Linked DNA regions of Rhinolophus ferrumequinum. The protein of the gene in region 3 purifies or fractionates together with the protein of the main gene of each other region. This does not show direct contact. Links are inferred from orthologs where the notes say so. Each region holds a gene or a part of one and is shown on either strand. Other genes may lie near its edges.

What was found.
Region 1: the proteins of PHLPP1 (region 3) and USP1 purify together in Homo sapiens (affinity purification with mass spectrometry; 6 studies listed by BioGRID and IntAct, counting the BioPlex papers as one, with this or other methods). This does not show direct contact. The link is inferred for Rhinolophus ferrumequinum from reciprocal best matches to the Homo sapiens genes PHLPP1 and USP1.
Region 2: the proteins of PHLPP1 (region 3) and USP46 purify together in Homo sapiens (affinity purification with mass spectrometry; 7 studies listed by BioGRID and IntAct, counting the BioPlex papers as one, with this or other methods). This does not show direct contact. The link is inferred for Rhinolophus ferrumequinum from reciprocal best matches to the Homo sapiens genes PHLPP1 and USP46.

The regions. Positions count from the first base shown.
Region 1 is NC_046292.1:45,619,332-45,629,295, reverse strand, and holds the start of USP1 (ubiquitin carboxyl-terminal hydrolase 1), read right to left. Parts: upstream 3,809-9,964; 5' UTR 3,066-3,808; intron 761-3,065; 5' UTR 689-760; coding exon 519-688; intron 1-518. UniProt on the Homo sapiens protein: Negative regulator of DNA damage repair which specifically deubiquitinates monoubiquitinated FANCD2. Also involved in PCNA-mediated translesion synthesis (TLS) by deubiquitinating monoubiquitinated PCNA.
Region 2 is NC_046288.1:15,425,209-15,435,361, reverse strand, and holds the start of USP46 (ubiquitin carboxyl-terminal hydrolase 46), read left to right. Parts: upstream 1-5,919; 5' UTR 5,920-6,090; coding exon 6,091-6,126; intron 6,127-10,153. UniProt on the Homo sapiens protein: Deubiquitinating enzyme that plays a role in behavior, possibly by regulating GABA action. May act by mediating the deubiquitination of GAD1/GAD67.
Region 3 is NC_046302.1:50,042,935-50,052,543, forward strand, and holds the start of PHLPP1 (PH domain leucine-rich repeat-containing protein phosphatase 1), read left to right. Parts: upstream 1-5,603; 5' UTR 5,604-5,939; coding exon 5,940-7,497; intron 7,498-9,609. UniProt on the Homo sapiens protein: Protein phosphatase involved in regulation of Akt and PKC signaling.

The DNA.
Region 1 (9,964 bases), on a different chromosome or scaffold from region 3:
TTCACTGAAGGATTTGCATCAAAAGCATTTATTTTTAAGTTTATGTGAAATACAATCTGTATGCCCCAACAGCTTTGATAATTCATACGCTAGATATGTCTACAAAGTTTAAATATCTCAGGTAACTGTCAAGTCTTCTGAACCAAAAAAAAAGAAAAAAGAAAAAACAGAAAAAGAAAAACACCTATTTCTTCACCCTTACATAAAATGTGTTGTACTACAATCAAGTTTAAATTAATAAACAATTTTAGTCAATAAATATTTCTCCAAGTTAGTCTAATTGGCTGAATACAATGTGAATGAGTTAACATGGATGTGATGATCCCTGAGAGGAACCACCAGTTTTGCTGTTTCTACTATATACTGCTAGACTTGTTACACAAATGTGTGTTTTCTTGGTTTGCTTTTTTGCCCCTGTGGACTATCAAGTCAGAATGTCTTGAAGTATCAAACCAAGTTGACTGCTTCTTCATTGATGTGGAATTTTAAAAGTACAGAAATATACTTAAGATACATACATTTCAGATCCTCTATATTCAGAAGCTTTTTCTTCATTTTCTTGAGAATCTGTGAAATCCAAGGCTCTCTTAGTTTCCTTTTTCTGAAAAAACTTCAAGGAAAGTCTGTTTTTCTTCGATGGACTACCTTTCGAAAGCCCATTACTTTCACTAGGTATGACACCAGGCATTTTCTCTTCAAATCCCAAAGAGTTGACAAGAATTAATTTATAGAGGGACGATATAATCACCAATCATATCTGCTAATCACAAAAAAAGGTTTCATTAGTTTTCAGAGGTTTCCTTTGTTATCAGCTGTAGACAATAAAATCAATTTTGAAAATAAGTTTACCAAGGAATAATACTAATTAGAACTTAATATTTGAAAACCTAGGGCGCCTGGATGGCTCAGTTGGTTAGAGCACAAGCTCTTAACAGCAAGATTGCCAGTTCGATTCCCACATGGGCCAATGAGCTGTGTCCTCCACAACTAGATTGAAAAACGACTTGACATTTTGGAAAAACACACTGTTCTCCCAATATTCCCCAATTAAAAAAAAACAAAAACCTAATACCTGGGAATAACAGTCAATGTTTTATTGTTTGTCATTGTCCTTAACTTTCTTACACGACAAAAAGTAAGATACTGAACTAACTTGAGCCTATTAGATTAAGGGTTACATCACCAAATACCCCATTTTAGTAGACCTACTCTAAAGTATTAAAGAGTAAAACCTTAATTTTTATTATAATTTATTCATTCAGAAAATACTGAGCAACTACCATCTCTATAAAGTAGAAGGGAAACAGAAGGATGAATGGGAATCAAAGGATGCTGGAAATGAATGAGTCTTCCTTCTAAGGCCTTTTCTAATTATATGAATAAATGAAATAGTCTCAAAGAGGCTCTTTAAAGTATAATTTGCATACAAGAAAAGGCATAGATCTGGTAGTGGTATAACAAAACGAGTGAAAATAAAATAATGAAAGTTGAGAGAGTGATGCACTTCTGTATAAGAAAAATTGCTACACTTTGTGTATATAAAATTCTTATGCACTAGAAACCACAATATACTGATTTTCCAAAAATCTTTTAAACTAGATTTCTTAAAACAATGTTTTGTGTAGGAAAAAAGGATGATTTGGTTTACCATTTGCAACCCTTCTTCCCAATTTTAAAGTAAAACTTTTGGATAAAAAAAAATGATAGTATTTATGGTAGTTATTTTATACATCAGTTCTATTTTTTTTTTTTTTTAGGCTATCTGGGGGAAAATTATCTGACTGCAGTATTATGAGAACCCAAAAAGCTCAACAATCACTTTCAAATGTAGATACAGAGTAATACCATAAACTAACAAAATTCACTCAAATTCTGTCCTAAGTATTTCACTAGGCTGCCTCTAATCTGGGAATTCACAGCACTGAACTCAGCAGTGAAACCACATTTTTGATACTCAACTCAGGAATAACTGGAAAGCTGACCAATTTCCCCATTCCTTCTCCAACTCAATTTACTCTCCGGGCCACTTAAATGCTACTGATAAAAAGCTATCATGAATGATAAACCAGCCTGCGTTAAATTGTAAGGCATCTCTAAGCATTAATGATTCTTGTAAGCGGTTTTTCTTGGGAGCCAATTCTAATAAATGATGGAAACTGGATTATCTAAGAGACAGAGTAACCGGACTTAAGTCAATAGAAGAAAAACTTACCAAGCAGCTAAAATAACGGATTCCATCAATCCTAATCAATAACCAACCCTCCTGGCTCCCTCAAAGCAATGATTAAACTGAGAATATAACATTTTACCAGGTGCCGTATATTAAGCTATATTACTATGTCTTGCTTCTTATAACTGGGGGTTGTTACATAAAAAATGTTTCTTCTGCAGTCTAAATCAAATTTCGCAAAAAACAGTGAATCGAACATTAATAAATGACAGTGTGAATAAATGACGGCGTGAATCCTGTCCCACTAGTTTTAAGTGCTTTACAAAATGACACGACTCAATTACAATTTTTCACGAAAAAGGCAAAAGAATTAAGGATAACATCCTCTTCAAACGTTTAAGACACGTGGCGTTCGTTCTAAATACAGAAAAATTAAAAGTTAAACTGTGCGGTAAAATTCAGCAATTACCTACACAGGACAACGTGAGTGAAAACATTTCTTCTCCCTACCCTGCAGCACTCTACGCACGCAAAAGAAAGTGAAATTTGACTAGATGGTGCTGAAGTCGGTGCCTGTCAGACGCTGCCCTGGGCACAGCGGCAGGCTGGCCGGTGGCGTCCTTAGCCCGAACTACGGCTCCTGGGCCCCCACACCCGTGGGGTTGGCCTATTTACGCCCAGTCCGCACCTGCCTCCTCGACTCCCAGCCGCCGCAAAGAGGGAGCCCCGCCCGGTGCCCGGAGGGCTCGGCAGCTCTGCAAGAACGCAGCACCGGTCCAGCCCCGGGGTCTTCCCCGAGGCGCCGACGCCGGTGTCCCAGAGCAGCCCCACTCGGGAGCCGGCCCAACTTGTCTCGGCGGCCGGCACCGACCCCTCCTCCCCGGGCCCTCCGTACCTGGTCATGGCCCAAAGCGAGGTCCGCGGCGGTGACGCCGGTGAGTCGAATAGGGATGAGAGTAAGTGCGACAGATGAGATCTTGCCCCGAGCCCGCGGAGTCCCCGACCCGTGGAAAAGCTGGTCGGATCGCCCTCCCCGCGGGGGAGTGACCATTCGCTCTCAAAAGCGGGAACCCGGGCCGCCGCTCGGTCCTGCGGTGCGCCGGCACCAACTACATCCCCGGAGCGGCGCTCACCCGCGCCTGCCCCGGGATGGTGAGAAGCGCAAGAAGTAGTCCCACTGCCGAAGCGCCTGAACCGCTAGGGTCTTTCCCACTCCACTACCGAGGGGAACTTGGCGCGTTTTCCTCAGTCTCAGGACCCCCGTGTTTTAGCCTCCGCCCGCGCCAGCGCCGCGATTGGAGGTGGCGTCCTTCGAAGATGCCGGTTCTAGTCTCCACGGTGCAGAGACGCGAAAGGTAAGAGCCACCTCGCGACCGCCACTCGCACCCCTGGCACGCACGGACTCCGGAACCAGCTGGAACGGTAGTTTTCCCAAGATCCTAACGGGTTCTGCAGCTTCAAACAGCGCAGGCACTGTCACGGGCAGCTCGCGCGGGTCCTTCCTGAGGGCGCGCGCTAGGTGCTAGAGGCCTGGCTGGCGGGCTGGACCTCACACCCCCACACCCCCCTTTTTTTTCTTTTCTTTTTTTTTTTTTTAACCATTCGTGCGCGCGAGTTGAAGGAAAAGCGTACGGGTCGGGGGACGGGACAGAGACAAGATGGGACGGGCTCCTTCCTGGAGAAGGAGCCGCCGGGTGCTCAAATCCACCAATCCGTGATGAACAATTCCCTCCTGACCTTGCTCCCCCGACCAGCCCAAAGGAGCCAATCAGAAGTACATAGACAAAAGCCACTGAATGGGCGGGGAAATGAATTCCAGCCAATACCAAGAAGAAGAGAGGGGGGCTCCAGCCAATCATTGTTGGATATACAAAATGTTCCTCAGGAGTTGTTCCCTTCCTTCCGCTCCCATTGGCGTTCGAGTGCGCGCTTTCGCGGCCGACTGTTAAATCTCGCTCTGCGTTTTGCGAATCCTCGTCGGTGGGATGCCACCGAGGGTGCGGTTTCCGGAGTGAGGCCCTCACAATAAGCTCCGCCTACGTTCTTGCGTACCTAATCGGCGGAGTTTCCAGGGAGACTAGTTTCGAAAATGGCTGACCGGTTTTCTCGTGGGTTGGCGCTAGGGTTTTTCTCTCCGGAATCGCAGCCTCAGCCCCAAGGCAATCCAATGAAAATAAGCGCTGCCATGGATAACCGTAAATTCGCGGCGGAATACTGTAGAGCTGAGGCTCCTTTTCTCAGCTTACACGCCTCCTTTTCTCCAGTTTACCCCTTCCCCTTCCCGGCGGGAGAAGGAAACGAAATAGCATTTTAAGTCCCAGCGCTGGCTCGGGATGCTGCAAGGGAAAGGCTCAAAAAACGGCGAGGCAGGCCTCACCTGGGTTTTGCTTCCTTTCTGTGTTTGTATGCTTATCTTTGTGAGGTGACTTCACAACGCAAGTGCTGCAGTTAAGCAGGATAAGGTCAAGCGAAATTGATTTAATCAACCTTATTTTTAGGTGCCAGGCATTTTTCTAGGTGCTAGGGATATGGCGTGAGTGAAATATAATCCCTTCTCTAAAGGAACTGTATAGTCTAGACAGGGACAAAAATTAACTAAAATGACATGAAATAATATGAGTGATAGAGAAAGCAGATATAAGAAGGTGCAGTTTTAGATAGGATAGACTGGAAAGACCTCTGAGTTGATGTTTGAGCAGAGACCTGAATGAGAGTGGAGGGAACCTTGGAGGAATCTGAGCAAAGGGTGATCCAGGCAGAGAAAACAGCAAGTTAGAAAAGTCCTGAAGCTTAAGGCGGTTGGCATTTGGGAAAGAAGCTAGGAGGCCAGGGTGCTTAGTGCCCAGTGAACCTGAGAAGGACGATTGTGGGAAATAAGATTAGTGACATTGCGGGGCACTGATGAAGCAGGGTAAGGAGGTGGGAGTCGTTAGATGGTTTTACTCCGGAGAGTGGAATGATTTGTGTAAGTGGCTGCTTGTGGATGGATAGAGTGTTGACCTTCAAAAGTGCAAGCAGGAAAGTCCGCTAGGCTATTTCAGCAGCCCAGGGAATAAAGTATGGTGGCTTGGAATAAGGTGGTAGCAGTGGAAGAACTAGCAGAATTCAGAATATATTTTCAAGGAGAGCCAACAGGATCTACCGATGACATATAAGGAAAAAAAGAGACTAAAATGACAAGGATTTTCTTTTTTAAACCAAAGCAACTGAATAATGGTTGGTTCTTGCTAAAATGGGGAACATGGGGTCTAGTGGGTTTCGTGGGAGGAGCCATTGTTCTTAGATGTTAAGATTGAGATGCCTGTTGAGCCAGCAGATACCAATTTTGGAGCTTAGTGGAAAATTTAGATCAGGGGATATAAATCTGGGAGTCACCAAATGGTGTTTTAAACCATGAGACTGGAAGAAATCACCTAGAATGATAATATTCATTCTAAAAAATCTGCGGGGCATTGATGATCTCTTCCCTTGCCCAGCTAGGAATCCCGAATTAAGATAACTGCCCCTTAATTTACCCACCTTAGAATCAGTAGCTATCCCCCAAAAATCCATATTAAGAGTGACACTTAGAATTTCGGAATCATTGAGTTTATAAAAAGAATACTGTGACATGCACAGTGATTTCTAAACTGCCTATAGAGAAGTTAATGCTACTATCACTTGGTAAGGCTCAAAACTAGTGTTTTTTTAACCATGCTTTCAAAGGATTGATAAATCCTATTTGAGAGCCACAGAAAAAGCACCCAAACTTATTTTGAGGCCAGCATAATGGTGATGCTCAAGATAGAGAAGGACAAAATTAGAAAATACAAGTACACATCAGTCTCTTAGTTTACCTTTCTGTGCCATGGACTGGACAGTGTCTCACTCTCATACTAGCAAAATCATCGCTACATTCAAATTCTACTAGGATAGATAACCAATTCTAATTTCCTATTCTAATTTTCCTAATTCTAGTTTTCATATCTCCGTTGAGAGCCCATTGTCTGTAGCCACTATTCTTCCTGTACAATTTACAGAACCAGTCAAAGTTCATTTGCAGAGAATAGAATCCCTTCCACCTGGTGGTATAAGTACATCCTTCATACTTATAAGAAATTGAGTGTTGATTAAATAGATTCATTTTTTTTATAATGGTCCTTTTTTTTAATTTATTGGGGTGACAATTGTTAGTAGAATTACACAGATTTCAGGTGTACAATTCTGTATTACATCATCTATAAATCCCATTGTGTGTTCACCACCCGGAGTCAGTTCTCCTTCCATCACCAAGATTAAATAGATTCTAAGATTAGTTTTTCAGAAACAAGTCCCAAAGTCTTTACAGAACCAGGCCACCAAGGGAACAGTGACTCTTCTATGATCAGGAAATGATGATTTCTGAACTACATTCTCCTGCAATTGCCTAGGAAACCACCACAATCAAAGCCGCTTGTGTTGCCAACTCCAGAACCACACTGTACCCACTTTGATCTATACCAGTACAATACATGTTCTAAATCCTGCCCATCAAGGCCCACAGAACTAATTAGCGGCTGGACACTGAGACTTTGCTAATGCTGCTTCAGAAACACCAAACACCTCCTCAACTGTGCTTATCAGTAGCAACAGCTGAAGCCTGGGGATGCATATATCAAGCTTGGTGTATCTCTGGCAATATAATTCATGCAAAAATTTAAAGGGTTTCTGTTGTTTTGCTTTCAGTCAGTTCAATGTGGGAGAAATTACAGCAGCAGTTCTTGCCTAGATAAAGTTTATAAGCCCAAAGACTATCTTTTATTTCCTGGCTTCTCTGTGCTGAGCAGCTACGTCATCCTTAATGACAGCTAACTTGGGGGCATCTGAAACTGGAATTTAATAGGTGGGCAGCATTCTTAATCCCATCTTTGTCAGTTTAGTATGGCTGAGTGGCAGGCATATTTCCTTCCAAGGCTTTTGTTCACAGACACTGTTTCTATTTGCTTTGATTTGGAGGTATAGAAATACTTGGGGTTTTTTTCAGTCTTTTAAAGCCCAAAATTATGGGACTCTTAATCCACTTAGATTACAGACAGAGTTCCCCTCTTAGCAAAATTGTTCCTTTCCATCTCTACCTTCCGATGGGCCAATTCTGGCCTGAGTTCATTTCCCATAGAACTTTGCTGGAAGTGGCAAGAAAAAGCCAGTAAATACCAAGTTTATAAAGTTTCCCAGTTATTTCCTTTCATACTACAAATATCTTACAATTGGACAAGTGTCACCAGTTTTCCATCTTGCAACATCTGAGTCTGCCCAAATGCTTCCACTCAGCCAACGAGATATGTCTATGTCTTCTAAGGTTATGCGATGTGCAGTATGAATGGATAACCTTCTGGTCACTATGCCTATAATTAATGTTAAGTCATAGCATAATGTAGTTGGGAGGTGCTGTACCTGATAGAGGTAAAGGACTATTCTCCCAAAGAAAATGCAGGACCTACCAGCGTGTACCACCAGGAACTTGGGGAGTATGTGTGGCTTTCCACAAATCACAGATGAATGTAGCAGAGGCCTCCCAAAATTTGGCTCACTAGTACGGTGGGGATGACAGGACCCCACAATAATAGAGACCAGGTGACAGTGCTGTACTACCAGATGCCAGGTTACAATTGTTATAACTGTGTAATACACAGTTACACAGGGGACCTGACACACACAGTTACGGAAATGGTTGACAGAAAATGGTGTTCTTAGGGGAAATATAGATAGGCAGCCAACAGAGGTTTTATTAGTTTGTATCAGCAGAAAAAAAATCAAGAGCTGATGACCAGGAGGCTAAGGTCTGTCACCCCATAAAGTCCCAATTCCTTAATCAGTTTCCACACCTGAGCCATTGTATAGACCTGGAACCCATTGATTGTAGAGGTCCCCAGAAGGAAGGACCCTGCCACATACTTGAACAAGTATAAATGGTAATTATTTCCCTAGTCCATCCCCAAAGTATCTTTGGCCATTTATTTGGGTAATTGTACCTTGGGGAAATGGGGATATCCAGACATTTAAAGTACTGTTTAGACATTGGTAAATTGACATTGGTATCCAGAGATCAGAAATATCATCATGGTCCTCTGTTAGAGTGGGGACAGAGAGAGGCCAGTTATTAAGTGGGGTCGTGGCAAAGTCATGCTCAGAGTGGGTCTGTGGCCCACCCAACAGTCATTTCCCCTGTCCTCAAATATATAATGGGATTGATCTATTTGGCAACTGGTAGAAACCCATTGGGACCTTTGCCTGTGGAGTAGAAGCTATCATAGTGGGGAAGGCCAAGTGGAAGCCTCTGAAATTGCCTCCGCTCCCCAGGCAAACATGGCACAGGAAATCAAAACGATATTGTATCTCAGGAGAGGATGGCAGAAATTAGTGCCACTCTTATGCATTTAAAAGATACAGAGTGCTGATTCCCATCATATCTCCATTTAACTCACATGTGTCCCTGCAAAACATAGATGGGCCCTGAAGGATGACAGTAGATTATGGCAAGCTTACCAATTAGTAGACCTGATGGCAGCTGTTGTGCCAGATGCAGTATATTTGCTAGAACAGATTAATACAGCTTCGGGTACTTGATACACATCGTTAATTTAGCGAATGCATTCTTGTCTGTTCTAGTTTTAAGAAAGGATCAGAAACAGTTGGCATTCCCATGAAACAGACAAAAGTTCACATTTACAGTTTGGCCCAGGGCGATGTTAACATTCCTGCCCTCTGTCATAAAATAGTTTGAAGACATCTGGACCTTCTGGACATCCTGCAGAACATCATGTTAATCTATTACGTCAATGACATCCAGCTGATTGAGCAGGATAAGTAAATTATAACTGTATAAAGAGAATGAAAGAACTAACAGTGTACATGCAAGGTGAATGTGCAGAGGAGTGTGCACAAGAAAGCTTATCTTCTTTATTGGGAAGTCAATATATAATAGCTCAGTGAAAAATCAAGTAGAAATATGAGCATGTTATTTAGATATGTGAAGAAATGTGAACATGTTATTTAGAAAAGTTGTTCTTTAGATAACTTTTAGAATCAGCTAAAAGTTGTAAATGGTTGCTTGAGGGAATGGGAAGTCTTGTTGGAACCATTTAACTCTTTAAATCATGTACATGTATCACTTTGAAAAAAGCAAAAAAAAAAAATTTTTTTTAAAGCACTGTAAATGAATTGTTTTCCGATTTCATCCCCTGGGAAATGTCAGAGCAAAGAGGTTCCACAGGAGTAGGATTATTGGGGATTGGATGACAATTCTGATTCTCACTTTCTGGGTGCAAGTTAAAGGCAGGCCTTTATGTATGTGAACCCTTGGCCTTTATCTAGCATCTTTAGTAACTACAAAGGCAACCAACCTTAAACCATGTGGTAAAACCACTATCTAGTAATTAAATTTAAATAAAAAGATTATTCCCACAAATTAAAGTCTGTTTAAAAGGTAAAATCCACTTGGCTTCAGGATTTTAAATTGCACAATCTCAAGCCTCAGGGTCAGGTGGGAGGACCTCCCATGCCTGTGAAAGGAATGCCTTGCCCGCTTCCTTAATGTTTGGTATCAGTTTAGGAGATGAATGTCCGGTAAGTGGGTGGGTTCTGAGTGGGTAGCAGGAAGTCTCAAGAGACTATTTATATTTCACAGGAAGAAAATCTTGTCTTTCACATGCCATTAAGATTCTAATTCTTTGTATGTTTAACCCGTCCTGAAAAGAGATCTACAATTAAACTTCAACAACAATATTTTTTTCATCTCTGAACAAAATTTACTTTAATAAAGTACTAAGTATTTGA
Region 2 (10,153 bases), on a different chromosome or scaffold from region 3:
GGTAAAAACTTACCAAGCTAAATAAAGCTGAGAAAACTTCCTTTGGAAGTGAGCTTTGAACTGAGTTTTGAGGAACAAGTAGACTTGAAATAGAAAAAAGAATAATCAGCTGAGTGTTAGGGGAGTCATGAGCCTGCAGGCCTGGAAGCAGGAAGTGAGAGGATGTACTTGCTTGACTGAAAGGTTGGAACAGGTGCAGCAGAGCCAAATTAAGGAGGTCCTTGCAAACCAGGCAGAGAGCCACTCACTGAAGGTATTTTTGAGCTCAGTTGTCTACTACCCTCTCTCTCTTTCCCTTCAAAAGCCAAGCATCTTTAGTCTTTTTTCTCACCTCCCTTTCACTTAACAACCCATTCCAGTCTGTATTCTATCCTAACCATTCCATGCAAAGTGTCTTTGAGAGAATTCCAAGGCCTCTTGAGTAATAGGCTCTGGTGAGATAATACATAAATTGGGGCAAATTACTTAAACTTTCTGAGCCTCAACTTTCTCGTCTCTAAAATGGGGATTATAATACTACTGCCTTCCTCATAGGGTTGTCAGAAGGATTCATTTTAAAGCCTTATTCAAGAATCTGTTGCTACTAGTAGTATTTACCTTCCTTGATCTCTTAGCTGTCAGATAGAATACATTTGACTCTTCCCTCCATCTTGAAATACTCTTTGGCTTTGTGATGTTGCATGTTTCCTTGCTTCTACACTTTAGAAGCTCTGTATTAGTTTTCTTTGGCTCCTTGTCTGCCACCTGATCCTTGCATGGTGGAGTTCTTTCTGACTATGCCCTTGTCTATCCTCATTCTATATACTCTCACTAGGCAATTGCATCCATAACTGCATGTCCTCCATTATCTTCTATACATTAATTAATTACTCTTAGATTTATCTCCAGTCCAGACATTTCTTCTGAGCCTAGACCAGTGCTTGATATAACTATTCAGGTGTTTCATGGTTATTGCAAACTCAACACCTCTGAAACCAAACTCACTTCTTCCTAACCACCTATATTTGAACCTTCTCCTTCAGCATTCCCTATCATAAAAAATGACATTCCTTTATATTCTAGTCAGAATCTTGGGACTCATCTTTGACTCACACTTGTTGCTAATCCCAGTCAATCACCAAATTCAGCTGACTGCCTCCAAAAACAAATCTTCAATTTGTCCACTTCTTGCTCCCCTTCCCCCCTGCTCCCCATTGCCATTCCCAGGCTACTGACAACTCTGGGATTCTCACCACAGATTTCTAACTGACCTCACCTAGAGTGCTTTTGCTTTCCTTCAAACCCTATTTCCCCATATGGTGGCCAGCTAGACTAATCTCTTCTTTCAGTTAATCAAAATGTATGAGCAAATAAAATCTAATCATGTTCCAACCGAGCTTAATAATCCTTCCACAGCATTTTAATTGGCACTCATAATAAGCCAATTGTTCCAAAGGCTCAGGGAATCTTAACAACCCATAAATACACTCATGATTTTAGATGCAGCTTCTCTGTTGTAGGAACTCTAAATTGATGCTCATACCAAAGTTAGCTTATCCTTATTTCATACTAATTGCAGGCAAAATGGAGCAAGGACATTCATAAACAATGCCAAGGAGCACCACCAATGAACTCGAGCAGTGCAAGTGCTGCGACTGCCTTCTTTTATCTTGGGATCACCAGTGCCACACAGAGCGTCTAGCACAAAGTATGTCTTTAGTAAGTATTTGTTCGATGCATGATGAAAAAGGAAAAAGGCTGTCACAAAGTTCCTCATAAAATTGAAATATAATCCACAGATACCAGTTTGGTTTCAAACTCAAGTCTACAGCCAGCAAAATGTTTTTCCCTCAAACAGCGAAATGTTTACTAGCATTTGCATATCAAGTGAGCTGCAATAACCTATATGACAATAAGGAAAAAAGGAAAGGAATGAATGTGCCAGTCTCAGTGCCTGAGACCAGAGGAGATTTTTAAAAATTCACATGACAAGGTTCTTTTCCTCCAGGAGCTTCCAGGCCACTTGGAAAGGCAATTGTTCAGATACTTAATATCTGAATTCTTGGCTCCTCCTATGGACAAGGCGCTGTGTCTTTCTTTAGATGTAAAATGAGTAAAACCAGGCCTGTCTCTTCATGTCTGATGAGGGTTGGGAAATAAACATTAACCAAATAGTCACATGCACAATAATTATAGCAGCTATCACTTATAGTGGTTCATATATGCCAGGTATATTTTTAGTATTTTACATAAACTTATGCAATCACACTCTGAGGGGTACTCTTATTGTCTTCATTTTGTAGATAAATTGTGGCTAGAGAGGTTAAAAAACCTTGCTCCAGGTGATACAGCTAGTTCAGGCAGCCTGGATCCAGGGTTCATTTTTCAACCACCCACTCTACTGCCTCCATGCTGTGTGCTACATGGCATAAACATATTTATAAATATAAGGTCTTTGAAGGAAAGATGGATGGTGCTATAAGAACATATAACAAGGGCATCTCATCTTGTCTCCAGTCATCGGAAGGCTGAGTGGCCTCCAGTCATCGGAAGGCTAAGCAAAGAGGGGAAGCAGGAGGGAGACAGACAGGAAACTGGTAACAATAGAAGGGAGAGTATGGAACCATCTGAATATGGGAGTTCTTTCGTGGTTGTGGTGTGGGAGAGCAATCTGGGATGGCCTCACGGAGGAGGCAAAACTATAGGAGGAAGACTTCCAAAGATCAGTTTAGTGAGTAGAGAAGAGAGGAAAAGAAAACATCATGAATTTGGAATGAGCCTAATGCATTTGGGGGGACAGGGAGACACTGGTTATTAGGATTCTTTCAGTTGTGTGTGACAGACACTCAATTTGAATGGGCCAAAGAAAACAAAGACTTTACTGACTTGAGTTGCTAGAGTCCAGGATATAGATCTAGCAGCTAGTGGATAAATGATGTGGTTAGGGTCTCTTTTCCATTCCTCAGCTTCATTTTTTTTCTACACTGGTTTCATTCTCAGGCAGTGGAAAGATGGCAGCTCTAGATTTTATCCTATCAGCTCAACAAACTCAGGAAGGGGAGTACCTCCTCTCCAAAAAACCCAGGGCTGATCCTCATTGGCTCAGTTTATATTACATTCTCCTTGCTGAAGCAATTACTGTGGCTGGGCAATCAGGCCACATTGGCCAGGCCTGGATCACGTGCCTTACTCTGGAGCCAGGAGGTGACTTAGCCACACCTGAACCTTAGGTTCTGGGAATGGGAGAGGAGTTCCCCAAAGTAGAATCTGGACCTGGGCAGGCAAAAACAGAGACCACCACCACCACAAGTGGTTGGCTGGAGCATTGCTCTTCACACTTCATATGCAGTCTCATTTAGTAGGTCTGGGATGCAATCTGAGAATCTGCACTTCTCACAGGCTCCCAGGTGACGCCAGTGCTGCTGCTTCACGGACCACACTTTGTGTAGCAAGAGGCATACTACCTGGAGTGACTGCCTCCCTCAGATTCATTCAAGCTGTTTAGTGCTAGCCTCCCATCCTTCCATTTGCCTACTTTTCCCAGTTCTATCTCTATACCTTCATACAAGCTAGTCCCTATACATGAAATGCTTTGCCTCAAAGTTCTTTCATTAGCTTGTCAACATTTTCATCATTTTACCTCTTATCATTTGCAAGTGTTTCCTTACTGAGTGAAGCCGAAGTTACAATTCTTCTTCAACTGATGCCTTTTTCAATTTAGACCTGTGAATACCAATCTAGTAGTGTAAACATGTATTTAATTATTCATGAGCCTGAGAAGATCTGCTGTGTTCAATTGATTTGTTGTGTATGTAATTCACTGCTTGAGTTTCAATCTGGATGTTTGTCTACATTGAACACTTCACTTTTAGGCTACACACTGTTAAAAGGCACGCAAAAGACTCTTTTAACTTGTTCATATAGCACTCAGTCATCAGATGATGTTCAATTTTCATTATGTCAGTGGGGTTTTCTGTCCCGTGGACTTTGCAATCCATTGTGTCAATGCCGGCAGAATGCTGAACTCTATGACGGTATAAAATTTCCATTATCATTTTAAGGCTTTGGATTAATGCCTTTATGGTGGAATGTCTGTGAAATTGAGTCCCGAGTCCTGAGTTTGGGCCCTGAAGGTTCTCCTGAACTTGTTTGGCCATTTTCCTTAAGTCTTTAAACCTTTCTAGGTCTGTTATCCAACTGGCCATAGTTTGGGTATTTTGCTCCCTTCTCCTCTCCCAGCCTGCTTAGCACACCAGCTACATTTGTAACATTTGGCAACAGGAGGCAGATTTGATCCTCTAGGTCTTATTTTACTGATCTGCAAAAGGCGATGAGGATAATAGCATCTATCACCTGATAGTCCTGACGGTAACTGAAGATCATGAATGTAAAGAACATCATGACTGACAATGGTAAGAACTCAAAGTTACTGATTATCATCATCAGGATTTGTTTGGAAATAAGATGTAGGTAGAATGACTTAACATATGCAGGAGTTTATTCCTTAAACCCATTGAAATATACACAGCTAACATGACCCCACAAAACTTGAGTCAGTAGTTATTTTGTTTTCACCCTAGTCCTAGGGATATTAGCAATCAATGGTTCTCAAATCTTCGTGTGTAACACTAAATAGATAATGGAGAATAGGATGTGGAATCTTTTCCCAGTATGGTACCCTTGGCTTGGTTAGATGAAAGCTGTCTTCAGTTATATTAATTTCTTCAAATGTCATTACATATATTGGTTTAAGAATTACCATGCGTTTCACTTGTACAACTTTTCGGTTGAAAGCACTGAATTGCAACCTTGTATGTAGAATTGTTTCACACATTTGGAAACGGGCTCCTTTCCACTTCGCATGAACGTATCTGCTAAGTGGTGTAGATTCGCTAGTTGAGCTAGGAGCCACGACCTTTTATGCAGGAAATGTGTCTGAGCCAGCAGAGCAGTCTTCTCAAAACCTAGAGGTTGAGTGCCCAGGAGAGAGGTAGTTTTTTCTTTAAGATGCGTTCAAGGTTGGTTCTTTCCGGATTCAAATCGCTCCTCGGACAGTCCCTACTCCTTGCCCAGAACCCGGACTTGTCCTTTGTACCTGTTAATGTCACAAACTGCCTGAGCGCGTCGCTCTGGCCTCCGCCCAAGACCCAGATTCTTCTCCCCTCGCGGCGCCCTTTACCAGGCAGCCGGCCCACGGCTGGCAAGGGCTTTCTCACACTCGCCTGTTCTGACCCCATTCTGGTCCTCGCCGGTGCCATCTGGCTGTAACCCCAGGGAGAAACTAAAAGTTGGCCTTAGTCACCCCTACCCTTTGCTTTCTCCACCCGCCAAAATATAAAGACCTGGGGCTGCTGCGAGACCGGAGGCAGGAAAGAAAAAGTGAAGCCAGAAAACTACCCCGTGTGGCACCGGCCCTCTCCGCGGCGTCCGTGCCTTGGGCCCGGGCTCCCGCCTCCCCAGCCTGCTGTCGGCCCGAGGCGCGGCCCCTTCCGCCAGGCGGTGCCCAACGCCCAGCGCTGTCCCTGGTTCCCGCCGGCGCCACGGGCCCGGAGGAGGCCGCCGCCGCCGCTGCCGCCGCGGCATCTGGGTCTGCCCCGGGGACCCGCGCGGTGAGGTTGCCGCAGCCGCGCAGGCGAGGGCCTGGGCCGGCATTTCAGTCCAAAGATAGTGAAGCAGAATATAAAAAGGAAAAGAAAAAGGCCGAGCCCGGTGGCCCGGGGCGCGGGCGGCTGGAAGAGGGCGTAGAGGCCCGGGGCCAGGTGCCGGGCCGGCGGGAGGCCGGGCGCACGGAGGCAGCGCGGGGCGCGGGCCGCACGCGGCGCGCTCAGGCGGCCCCTCCTCCTCGCGCCCGCGGCCGCGGCCCAGGCTCCCCCACTCCGCCACTCCCCGCCCTCCGCTCTCCCGCCCGCCCTCCCCGCCTTCCCCGCCCTCCCCGCCTCCGCCTCCTCCCTCCCAGCCTCCCTCTCCCAGCCAAACTGAAAGCCGGACCCCAGGCCGCCTCCCCGCCGCCTCCCCGCCGCCGCCCGGCCTCCCTGCGGGCGCTCCACCATGGACAGTCCTGTTTTCACCTTATAAAGATGGCGGTGCGGGATCGCTGCAACCTTTAGACTAATGACTGTCCGAAACATCGCCTCCATCTGTAATATGGTGAGTGGCCGCCGCCGCCGTTGCCGCCTCGGGGGTCGCGCCCGAGGCGCGGCGAGGCAAAGAAAGGGAAACCCGAGCCGCACACTCGCCTGGCGCCGGGGTGGGGGTGGGGGCGAGGGGCGGCAGGGTCTGCGCCGCGTCGCTCGAAGTTCCCCGCCCCGGGCTGGGCGCGCCGGCCGCAGCCCCTAGAGCCCCCGGGGGAGGGGCCCCGAGCCCCCCTGCCCCGCTCTCTGCACTGGGACCTGGGAACCCGCCCGCTGGTACCCGGCCGCGCCGGGTGCCTCCGCCCTCGGGTTGCGGTGGAAGCGCCTTAGGGGGAGGCCGAACCCGGACGTCCCGGTGGAAGGGCTTGCGGGATAAGCCGGGGGGTGGGGGGTACCCATCCTGTCCTTGCGGTAGATGAAGCCCTGCGGGTCTCTCTGACCGCCCTCTTCACATTTTGAGTTCACTCCTTAAACTGTATTTAAAATGCACTTTCCAAAGGCAATCGCTGTATCTGGAGAAATTTGAAATGTAATAAAGCTATAAAAAAAGTGCAAAATTGTGCTTAGGGAAGTGAATTTCACCTGGTTTGAGAAAGCACGGTAATAGGTCTTAGATGCCTCAGTTTCCCCACCAGTGAAAGAGGGACAAGGTTATATGGCAGTGACATTTGAAGGCCCTGAGAGTGGTGGGACAGGCTGTGGGAGTGGAGGAGGTCTCCGGGGTGATCCGGCCTGATGCGCTGTAGGCTCTGTGTAGGCTGGTGGGTGTAGACACAGCAAGGGAATATCACTGGGCTCTGATGGGGACTGGTTCCAGGGCGGGGTGGTGACTTTAACTTGGGGTTCTCTTACAGCTTTCCCTTGCTTTTCAGTTTCTGCAGGAACAGCTTCCAGCCCTTGAGTCCCCAGGGTGCACCCTGCTGGCACCCCCACTTGTCAGAGCCTTGGGGTGCACAGCTTGCCTCCTGGAGTAAGACATTGCCCTCCTGTGCAGGCTGAAAGAGTGTCTGCTTTGCCTTCCTTCTCCAGGGTCCCCTCGTCCCAGCAAAGCTCCCTTATCTCCAGCTGGAACACGTGTTCTTTTAATGCTAGTTTGGGGAAAACCTCCCTAGTAGCTAATAATACAGGCCCCTAAAGGGAATCTGAGGAGGCTTGATTAGGAAGCCTGGAGGTAAGGTGATCTGGCTGCCCTTCCCCCATCACAGAGCTTTTTAAATCTTCTGTCCCACATTTTGTTGTAAGATTAACACATGGCAGAGAAGCATTAAGGAGCCATGTGTTCGCTCAGGAGTGGAATTGAGACCCACTGGTGCTGGCTTCAGTTTTCAGCACTGTTGGCTGTGGTCACTGCCATGGCCAGCAGAACAAATGCTGGGGCTTCCCAGAGTGATAGCTGCCAAGGTATTGGCACAGGACCAGTTAGATGTGGTGGGTGGATCCTGGAGCATATCCATTTCCTCTCTTTCCCGTCCTTCTCTACGCAGTTGGGTCTCCTGCTCCGTCTTCCTGTGGAGATAATGTTGCCTGGTGCAGTGGAAAGGTGATGCCTTCTAGGTTTCCCTCTATGCTAGACTAGCTCCTGAGGGGCCTGTGAAACCAGAGCAGCTCTAACACTCTTCTTTCATGCCTGCTGGAGTGGCCTCAGGCTTACAGGGCAGTGAGGTGCAGTCCCAGCCCTGGGTGGTGTTCCCGTCCTAAGCTAGTGTGTGGTGACACCTCTCTCTACTGAAGCAGGCTGGAAACTTGAGAGTGAGTAGCGCGTCCCAAGAGGAAGCCAGCCTCCAGCTTTTAAAAATTTATTTATTTCTCTCTCTCTCTATCTATCTATCTATCTACCTACCTACCCTCGGTGCAACTGGGGCTTTTTGGCACATCTGGACAGAATGTCGCAACCTATTCCCAGTAAAACTCAGCCACGGAGACAAGTGGCAGGGAGGACGTGAGAGGAGTGCGCTAGTATTGTCTGGAAAGTTGATACCTCGTAGAATCTTTAAATAGGTACCAAATTTAGGCTCATCACCTAGGTGTGGTGAGGAACCAATAAATAATTCAAAAGTAAGATGTTTTATCTTCTGGTTTGGACATTGTGTCTTGAGCAAGTGATGAAGATTTGGGCTCTCAAGTTAGACTTTCTGGGTTCAAGTCCTGGTTTTAACACATACTAGCTCTTTGTCCTTGAACAAGTTGTTCTTTGTCTTATCTATAAAGACAGGGTGATGATGGTTCCTACCTCCTAGGACTGTTGTATTAAATGAGTTACAAGTACTTATTGAGTGTTAGCTGTTTCCAACATCATTATGTCACCTTCAGTTGTTCAAAGGACAATGGGGAGTATGCCTTCTTGGACTTGATGACAGCAGCCACTAATATAAACAACCCACATGGTCATTTATGCAAACCAAGCCGAGTGACTGTATACAAAGCCTGGGATGGGAATCCATAATCCCGCCCCTTATGAAAGGCTGCTCAGGTCACCCTCGCCCCTCCCAGTCTCACTTCCCACACAGGAAGGCTTGGGGATGAGACTGCTGTCTTTTCACCTGATCAGATGTAAATTTTCATTGGACCTGTCTTTAGAGTCTTCACTCGATGATGAATTGTTTTCAGGTAGGTGGTCTGTGGGTTCCTTCTCACTGTTTAGCTTCTTTCTGGGGCTCTTATTGATCCTTCCCACTCTTAACTCCATTTGGTCCCAGCTGGTTTGAGTAGTTGTTATAAGAGCAAGTGGTGATTGCATTTTTTTAAAGCAGGTCATTTGGCATATTTTAAACAGGCTGATGTATGTGTCCAGAAACGGTGTTAAACGATATCATCTTTCTAGGTAACACTTGAGCAAACCAAGATCTAGCATTGAAAAATGGATTTGTTTCGTCCACCAGACAAGAGAGGACCCAGCAGAGCAGAAACAAAACTTCCATAGCAAATCCTTCATGTGATTGAGAAACACCTTCTCTTCCCCTCATACTTCTTGTGCCAATTTTAGATATAGGGACTTGGAAATATTCACATGTCTTCACTTGTCACCTTCCCCACTGAAGTTTTATTGTGCATGGGAACTTGAATGCTAGCTCCCATTTGTTTTAATTTTACTTCCATGTGAATTCCTGCCATAGTGATTCTTGATCAACTTGCTTAGGGCTTGTCAGCTTAGCTACACAGCATGTCTGGTTCACAGATAGTAAAGCTTGTTTGGCTGGTGTGTTGTAATTTTTAAAATGCACTAGCTGCTACCAAGCATGAGAAAATGTCCCTTGTTGATAATCCTCTGATTTTTTCCAGACCAATGGATTTAGCTTCCTGCGTATTTTTATGACCTTACAAATTGAAGGTTTTTGTGTTTTCATTTTTTTGGCAAGTTTTCTGTTTGAAGAGTTTGAGGAATTTTCTAAAGAGGAAGCATTTGTTAGGAGAAACCAACTGTGCTCCCTAGAAATGTCACTTGGACTAATGCAAATTGGTCTAAATCATCTAATCTTAATTTAGCTTGTTAATAGTGTTACAAGATGTACCATATAGGAAATGCTGTGTGTCAGATAGATTACATTTTTGTCCCCGTAAATGGCCATTTGTTGAGGACCTGCTGTGTCCGTGTTGGCACATCCTATGGACAGGTGCTAAGTAAATAAAGGAGGTGAGTCCCTATCTGCGTGGAACTCAGCAGTTTCTTGTGGGCATGACATTGGTAAAGATGAAATTTTTACTGTAGTGTGGTATCTGCACAGATAAGGGTTGAACAAAATCTCAGAGACGACACAGTGGAAAGACTGATGAACACAGAAGGACATTTCTTTAATATATTTTTTGACCATAGTTTGTATTTTATATGAGGACATGATTATAGTCAGTGTAACTGAGAACTGGAATCTGTACCATTGGGTGTCTCTCCAGTGAAGCCCGAGTCTAAAGCTGACTTTGGACAAATTATATTTCTTGGGATCTTGGTTTTCCTCAACTTGTAAAACTGACATATTGTTTTGTTGTTTTCAAAAGCTTTTCAGTAAGTAGGATTTCTTGGAGTCTTTATAAAAAAAAAGGAGTCTTTA
Region 3 (9,609 bases):
TTTGTTGGTCTAATACTACACTGTTTGTGACATATAACACGTCTATTTCTACGAGGCAGGATGTGAGAAACAAGAGAAAGACAAAGGATTACGGGATTAAAAAGGGTACACTACAATCTGAGAAGCTGTCAAGCGGTATTGATGAAGTGGGCTACCTAAAGTGATAGTGGCGATCTAAATTCTTGATAGAGTTCTTGTGAGGGAGGGGTAAGGCTTTAGAGAACCCAGAAAGTCTCATCCTGCCAGTGAGCAGGGAACATAGGAATTGTGTGGCCACCTGGGGCTCATTTAGTTCACTAGAGCAGTAATTTGCTAAATGGGTTCTTCCTAGTAAAAAAGAATGAGTAAATAGTGAGCAATTTAGGCATGGTAAACCACTAGTAGCTCAAGGGATATAAAAATGTGAAACTATAATTAGATTCCTTGTTCATAATGTACTAACTAAATGTATTACATTGTATATTGCATCTTTCTGCATTTATTTCTGGACACAGCTGAGACCTTAATAATTCAGACTGAAAGCATCCCAGCTATCAAGTCTTGCCTCCATTAAAATTCCAACTGCTCATATTAGGAAAAAAATTCCAAAGATAGTTTCTTTTATCTTGGATCTAAGGATGCAAACAGGATTAACCTAGATGCACAACACAGCAAGTCAGTTATAAATCACACAGCGTAAAATAAACTGTGGCAGTAAATTGAAAATTATGTTCTCTTTTTCTCCACTTAGCTGTGAAAATATTTTAACAAGTTGGCATCAGGGTTTGCAACTTTTACATCTGTTGTTTCTTGTCAGGATTATCTTTTAGCATTTTAAGATGTGTTTCTTTGAAAAGTGTGGCTAGTCAGAAAAATGTGGTATTGTACATGTGAAACACTTTAAAGGGTGTGGGGGGGAAGCCTCTAGGAGTCACGGTGGTTTCAGGATACTCACTCTACTTTTAAGTAGGAGAAGCTATTTCACGGGTGTCTGAAAAACACTTGGCCTGTCCTGAAATCCTTTTCTTATTCAAAAAGATTGTGTAGTGTAGGTTGGCTCAGATGGTCTGGATGATGTTTCATGATACTAGTAAGCTCTAAGCACAAGTTTCATTGCCCTTATCAATGTCTGTTATTTCAACTACAAGGTTCCAGTTGATGTGGTGTTAAGGGCACTGCCTATTCTTTACGAACTCTCATTTTCTCTCTCCCCTTTCATCCCCACGTTGAGTAACTTTATGAAAGGTTTGGAGGTGGAACAAGGAATGGATCATATTGTAGATTTTTGCTTTTCTGCTTTCTTCTCAACTCCTATTTTCATTATTCTGAGTACAATGGAATATGGTGTCTTTAAGGTTATGAATACTATGTATGAAATAGTTTCTTTATGTAGAAATTATATTCTACATTCTTTCCCCTGCCCCATGCCCCCAACTCACTCTTTCTTTGAGGCTGGAATGTATTTCCTTTGTCTTCATGTTGAAATACTTTAACATTATTCATTATTCCCCTCCTCCTCCCAATTTAATAATCCCTCATACCAAGTCTGGCAGGTATGTATGATGAAGTCCCATCCCCTCGTTCTCTCCCCAATACTTTGGGTACTAAATTTTCTGAGCAATGCTTTTTCTTTAAAAAATTTTCCTCTTGGAGGAGGTGTTTTGGTTATAAATACCTTCAAAGAGTAAACAAAATTCCTAGAGGATAAAAAGGCAGAGTCCTGGTGATTGTGTGTAAAGCTAAATGACAAGAACCAGAGCTAGATTAAGTACAGCACTATAATTTCTTAGAGAGTATGCAAATGGACATTGGGCCAATGGTGACAGTATTTATGATTAAAACAAACTTGCCTTTAGTTATATTAGCTAAAGAAATATAACTCTAGAAAGCAGGTATATGGGAGGTAATACAGATTTTTTTTTTTAATTTATATGAGGCAATATTGGCGAACAGTGTGTTTTTCCAGGACCCACCAGCTCCAGGTCAAGTCATTGTTTTCACTCTAGCTGTGGAAGGCGCAGCTCACTGGCCCATGTGGGAATCGAACCAGCGACCTTGGTATTATGAGCATTGTGCTCTAACCAACTGAGCCAACCGGCTGCCCAATACACATTTCTTAATAGATCGAAAATTAAATGGGTTTGTAGGAAATTAACTAAGGAACTAAGGAATGTAAAGAGTTTTTGTACTGAAATTTAACATGCTCTTTGTTTTTCGATCTTATTAAAGGGAGGCTAAATTAAAATACCATTCGTTTCATTTCTAGAACTAATTGTGTTAGGGACTACTCAAGACACCATATAGATTAGTGCAGTTGAAATTGAACTTCAACGTCATTATCTCTTTCTCTGCCTCCTTGCTTTCTTTTGAAGACTGATCCTTCAGCAAGTATTCAGTTTCAGTTGTTCCAGATGATTTCATCCAAAGGTAGGTCTCTATTGTCTGACTTCCTAGACTAGGTCAGTTCCCCTTGCTTTATTTTTGTCTCTTCCCCCGGCACCTGGTCTTTCCCCTTCCCTACATCCCTCTCACTTGTTGACTCTTTCTTTCTAATCTGTAAGCTGTATACAAAGGCAAGGACATGGTATATATTTTTTCAATCATTTTATTTTCAGCTTTTGTTAAGTCCTTCTGTTTTAGGTGCTCTTGTAAACATAAAGTTCATTTTTGTTTGTTTCTTTTTTAACAAAAACTTGACCATTTCTGTCTTTTAACTCTAACTGGCAAGTTTAGTCCACTTATGTTTGTGGTGATTATTGACAGCTGGTCTTATTTATCTCCTCCAGTTTCCATTGCTACTGTTATTTCTATGCTTTTTTCCCCCTCTCTTTGTGCCCTTTCTTTGGGGGTTGAGTATTTGCTTGTTCTTTTTTTTCCCAGTATTATTTTACATTAGTTTCAGGAGTACCGTGTTTCCCTGAAAACAAGATCTACCCCGAAAATAAGCCCCAGTTAAGACTGTCAACTAGACGGATGCATTTAGTACGTTATGATGATGTTCCAGAAGAAGATGACATGACTGTATTTGAATAAATGTAGATTGCTGTACATGAAAAAAATAAGACATCCCCTGAAAATACACCCTAATGCATCTTTTGGAGCAAAAATTAATATAAGACCCAGTCTTATTTTGGGGGAAATACAGTAGTATTTGTTTCTTCTTATTTTGTTTTATCTCCTTTATTAGTTTGGAAGTTGGCACTTTCGTTCTTTTCTTTTAGTGGTTACTCTCAAAATTTTACTTGTGTACTTAACAAAATGTAACATTAATAGCTGAACCTCCCAGTGGTAAGAGGGCCCTAGAACATTTTAACTTCAGTTACTTCCTCCTTATGTTTAAGCAGTTATTGTCCAGCATTTTATTTCTGTCTTTTTTTTTCAACTCTACAAACTGAGCGTTAAAAATTTTTATACAGATAATATTTAGATTTATCTACATGTTTACCAGTAAATTTGCTCACTATTTCTTGTATCTAGGCTGATTACTTATCCTTTTAGTTTCTCTGATTATTCTCTCCTAGGGGACTATCTCACATTTCCTCCTATCTCTTCAAACCTTCAGCACTTCCTCCACAATCCTTGCTCACAGCTGTTGACCATGCTTCCTACTTAACAGAAGATAGAATCAGAAGAGACGTTTCAAAAATTGTCTCCACTACACTTACCTACGTTCTAGCACCAGTGTTCATATATTCTTCCTTTCCTGTCTTTGTTGGATAACCTATCTGTGCTCCAGCATTCTAATCCCTCTACTTAAGCACTAAATCCCATCTCCTTTCACTTATTGAAGATATTTTTTATTCTCCTTTCTCATCCTGTATCATCAGTTTTTCTACCTAATTATATCATTTTTATCAGCTTTCAACATAGTATACTTTCCTCCATATTGAATTAAAACCCTTCCTCAACTCACAGCTCCCTCTTGTACAGCAAAATTCTTTGAAAGAGTTGTATGGTATGTACTAGTTCCCTAATTTTCCCCCTGGGCTACCTTGATCTTGAGCTCATGCTTTCATCCTTAAAAAAAAAAAAAAAAAGAAAAATCCAGAAAACGGCAGGGACAGTGTCTGATTCATTCAATTGCTGTAACACAGTGGTGACTGGTATACAATATGTTTATAATTATTTGTTAAGTTAATTGACTTGACTGTCTTATCTCTCTTAGGAGAATTTGCATTCTCCCTAATTTAAAAAATAAAACTGTTGATTGAATTGAAACGGAATAAAATTAGTTTCATGAGGCCAAGAGGTAAGACTTCAAAAGAAAAATACAGAAAATCATTCTCAGGAATTTCAAGAATCAAGCGAGATATGTATTTATTTTTGTCCTGGTAGCTTCCTTAATCCCTCTTCAGCAAAACTGTGTAGATAACCTAAGTACAACTTTCCTTGCCCTTAATTTTTGTTATGTCAGCTGCAAGTTCCAGTTGATTTCTCTTTCTCCTTCCCCCACCAAAGTTTAGGAATTTCACTGAAGTTAAGGCAGGCCCTGGATAGTATACGGTTGAAAAAGTCTCACATGTGAAAATCCAGATTTATAAAACAATATGGGGGAACGGTAACTCAATTAAAAAGGTTTACTAAATTCTTTTAAATAGTAAGCTACCCTACTCTAGTCTACAGTATTGTTTTAACTGACAAGAAAGTGCAACTTTTCAAAACACAACTAAACATTGTAACAGTAGAACTTTTTTTCTGAATGTTGAAAGAAACAACAAGGGATGACATAGGAGGGAACACACAGGAACAGCCCATCTCGTATCCCACTAATGTCTCCTTTCCAACGTTGCTATTACTTTCCAGTGCTTTCTGTGTCATTAAGTTACTCCAAACTTTAAGATCAATGGGAAAAAAATGAGAGCCCTGCCCTTTGCCCTTTTCCTTTTTAGATATAGGCATGGAAGAAGATCAGCTCCGGGTTGCACGACTTCCACCAAGCACATTCAGCAATTGTCCAAGTTAGTATTTCCAGACACTTCCAGTCTCCCTTGACCTTGAAAAAGTAGGGAAAAAGTGAAATTGGCTTACTTTGATTGCCAGTTATCCAGTGGTGCTGTGGGTATTTGTATCCCATACAACGGGTGGAGGTGAGGGTCACGAACCGGGGATTTTTGTGCCATTTTGAGTCCCTCAAAGTCCTTAATTTCAATTAGTAGGGAAAACGAAACTCTTATGGGAAGCGGGAGTGGGAGAGTTGGGTACAAGTTAATCAACAAGAACATTCCCGGCACAGTGTTCAACAGTAGAGGGCACAATACGCACTGTCCACTGCCAGGTGCTGGATGCAAGGAGGGGCACAACGTAAGGATCTCTGGGGCTTGTAGTTCGCCCTGTTTCCCTTGAGCATGACCGTCTCCGCACTAGCACTACAACTCCCAGAGTGCACCGCACGCCTCTTTTGTCGGCCTCCCCTTCTGTGAGGCCCGCGCTGGAACCTCGGGGGAAACGGCTCCCCCGCCCCGCCCTCGTACGCACGCGTCAGTTTGTTTACTCTGAAGCCCCGCCTCCCCTCCGACCTCCAGCTCTCCCCACTCCTCCCAGGAATGCCGTCATGCTAGCAATGCATATTCATAAGGCTCACGTGGAGCTCCCGCCCTGTCCGCCTCCCGCCTTCCCGCTCCCGGCGCGTGATTAATATTCAATGAGCCCAGCCTCGCGGCTGGTTCGCTGGCGTGAGGTGTGGGAGCGGGCGGGGCCTGTGCGCGGGAGCCCTCGACCCGGGCGGGGAGGGCGTGTTGAGAGGGGGGGCGGTGGCGGCGAGGCGGGCGCGCGGGATGGAACACCGAGACACCGACGGAATGCTCCGAATTGCCACATAATCCCCTGGAACGGCCGCGCCGAACGCCATTGGCTTCTCCCTTCTCCCCGCGCCACCGCCGCCGTCTCCCACCTTCGCCTCACCGCCTCCCTCTCTGCCCGCTGCCTCCGGAGCTGGGGGGGAAGCTCGGAGCCCCACTGCAATGGAGCCCGCCGCCGCGTCTACGGCGCAGCGACTCCCAGAAACCAGCAGGGAGGACCGAGCTCCGGCTCCGGCGGCGGCCGCAGCGGCAGCGGCGGCGGCAGCGGCGGCGGCGGCAGCGGCGGCCGCGGCAGCTCTGGCGGCGGCGGCGGCCGGGGACGGCCGGAGCCCAGAGCCCGCGCTGACCCCGGCGGCCCCGAGCACCGGGGCGCGGGAAGAGGCCCCCCGCGAGGCGCAGCCGGGGCCGCTGCCGGGCAGAGTGGGAGGCACCGGTCGCAGGAGGAGGCGCGGCGCGCCCCAGCCCACCGCCGGCGGGGCTGCCCCGGTGTCCGGGGCCGGCAGCGGCGCCAACTCCCTCCTGCTGAGGAGAGGGAGGCTGAAGAGGAATCTGTCCTCAACTGCTGCCGCCTCGTCGTCGTCGTCCTCCTCGTCGTCGTCGTCGTCCTCGGCCGCTGCCGCCTCGCACTCCCCCGGCAGCGCCGGCCTCTCCGCCTCCTGCTCGGCCTCGGCGTCGCTGTGCACCCGGAGCCTGGACAGGAAGACGCTGCTCCTGAAGCACCGGCAGATGCTGCAGCTGCAGCCGTCGGACCGGGACTGGGTGAGGCACCAGCTCCAGCGCGGCTGCCTGCACGTCTTCGATCGCCACATGGCCTCGACCTACCTGCGCCCGGTGCTCTGCACACTGGACACCACGGCCGGCGAGGTGGCCGCCCGCCTGCTGCAGGTGGGCCACAAAGGCGGCGGCGTGGTGAAGGTGCTGGGCAAGGGGCCCCCCGATGCCGGCCCCCGGCTCGCACCCGGCGAGCCGCGGGACCTGCGGCCGCCCCCCCGGAACAGCGCGCTGGCCGCCGTCGGGGCCCCGCCGCGCGCGCCTCCTGCCGACCTGCCGCTGCCCGGTGACCCCGGCGGGTGGGCGCTCGGCTCCTCCCGCGCCAGCCCCGCGCCCTCGGACTCCAGCCCGGGTGAGCCAGGCGCCGCGCGGCCCCTGGACAGCGCGGCCGCGGGCCGGGCTTCGGATACCGAGAGCTTCAGCCTGAGCCCCAGCGTCGAGAGCGTGTCGGACCGGCTGGACCCCTATAGCAGCGGCGGTGGCTCTTCGTCGTCGTCCGAGGAGCTCGAGGCCGATCCAGCCGCGCCGGGAGTTCCGGGCCAGCCCCGCCTGCCCGGCCGCTCAGTGCAGCCCCGGGCCGGAGCAGGCGCCCGGCCGCCTTCCCCGACGGCCTCCCCGCCTCTGCCGCAGCCAAAAGCCCAGAGGCTCGTCGACGGCCCGGACGGGGCTGCCCGCGATTGGCCTCGGGAGGAAAAGGAGGCAGCAGCCGCGGCCCCTGGCCGCCCCCAGCTCCCCCCGGGTGGGAACCCGGCGACCGCGGAGAAGGCGCCTCCGCCGCCCACCTTGTACGTGCAGCTCCACGGAGAGACCACCCGGCGCCTGGAGGCGGACGAGAAGCCTTTGCAGATTCAAAATGACTACCTCTTCCAGCTGGGCTTTGGGGAGTTATGGAGGGTGCAGGAGGAAGGCATGGACTCAGAGATTGGCTGCCTTATCCGCTTCTACGCAGGTAAGGAAATCACCTGGACTTGGCCGGGGAGGGGGGGTGAAAAGTGTCAACTCATCATGTTCAGAGGTGGGAGTCAGGTGGGCGGTCTGTTGGCCCGACCCCAGAATAGTCGCAGGTCCTAGGCAGTGTTTGTGACTTTACAGTTTTCACGGGTGATCTGTGTAATACTCAACTGAGCAATTATTCGTGCCGATCGTTTGGTCAGTCTTGAGGGACTCAGGTTGGGAAGCAACTCAGAGGTTGGGAGGGGTTGGTAGAACCCCCGGGAAGTACAGGAAGCAGGTATTCAAGAGGCAGTAGTACCTTCAACAATGAACCTGCTGCCCTCAGGCCTCCCTCAGGGCAGTTGGGGATTTCAGGTAAACTATCACGTGTACTTAATACCGATAGAGGAAAATGGCTAACAAAAACGCTCTAGAACACTCTCCCTACACTTGACTGCCCTCCTAACCCTAATACTGCCCCCCCCCCAGCTCCTTACTTGTCAAATTGGTGCACGTTCAGCTCTCTTTGTCATGCTTATTTGCCCACTTACCCCTCGTTAGAGACCTAACAGATAGGATCCTTTTTAGATAACTTTTTCCCAGCGCTTTTTTGCTTTATTACAATTTCCTCTCCAAGTTTGATTCTTGCATCAAAAGTGATTTTGCCTATTTTGTTTCTCACGTTCAGTCTTTATAGCCAGAACTGACCATTGTAGTGTGATTTACAATGGGGAATCACAGTAAGACTTTAAGTGCTATCTCTTGAAATGTGATCTAAAGTCCTCGTTCTTTTTCAGTTCTAGATTAAAATTTTTTAAAAAATTCTATTCTTTATTCCAGATTTTTTTGAGATACAATTGACAGATCAAATTCTTGACTGGGGTGAATAATGTTCTCTTGGATGAGAGATTTGGCTGGTGCATAATTAGGGAGCTATAGATTCTGGTTGTTATATTTGAGCTTTATAAGTTGGTTACATCCTTTCTCCCTCTGGTTTCAAGAATTATGTTATTAGTTATAAGGAATTTTATAAAGGTAGCATAACAAAATAAATCAGAGTTGTATCTTCCCCAACTTTACTATTCTAGGTTGTAGGTGATAGTGGAAAAATAATCACACTTGTAATTAATCTGTACCCATTCTTTCTATTTAGTATGTTCTTGGTCCAACTTATGTCCTAGTGGCAGTGTAGTCAGTTTGAATGAAGAAATCTTTACTCCCACATTGAAATATGCAAGACAAATAAATAGCATTCCTGATGAGATGTTCCTCTGAATTTCACTGAAGTTTTTCTGTAATTCAGGTGGATTTCTGATGGAGTTTTGCCTTATAAAGAAAACCATATCATAATACAATAGCATTTGCAGTTTCATTTGAAGATGGTATCCCAACTGGATGACATGCCTTTAAAAGTTTATGGTCTAGGAAATAGGTGATTTTGTTTTTTATGTAGGAGCAACAACTCTATCCTTTTCTCCTACAGCTCATCTAATTTGTAAAATTACAAAAGCATTAAATGATAATCACACATGGAATGGGAATATTTTGTTAACATTGAAGTGATAAATACCCTCATAACCAGACTTAATTCATGGAAGGAAATGTGTATATATATATATATATATGTATATATATATATATATATATACACACACATTTAACAGTATTGGACATATTTTATATGGAAAGAGCTCTGTATCCCCTGTTTTCCTCACCACTAGATATGTTTATCATGATAAATGCTAATAGGAAAGTTTTGGGTGTCATGGTCATGAAATTTAAATCTTTGATTCCCCTTGATTGTCTCTTCAAGTGTATCTAAAATATTCTAAGTGAATGATATACAGTTTTTAACATCTCAATATAAAAGTGGCAAAGTATCTTTCTGGTTAAATCTTAAATTTCTGGTGTGGTCATTTTAATCTTTTTTTTGTTTTTTATGAATAGCAGTAATTGTTACTTCATTCTGAACTTACTTGCTTTATTTCTGTATACACAACATAAATATTTACATGCCTCTGTGTATATGCTCATAAAAATACTTAATATGAAGCCACACACAGTATCCAACCTGTTCTCGAAGATGAAGGCAGGGTACAGGTAGGTGTCCTAGAAGGAAGATGCCTGA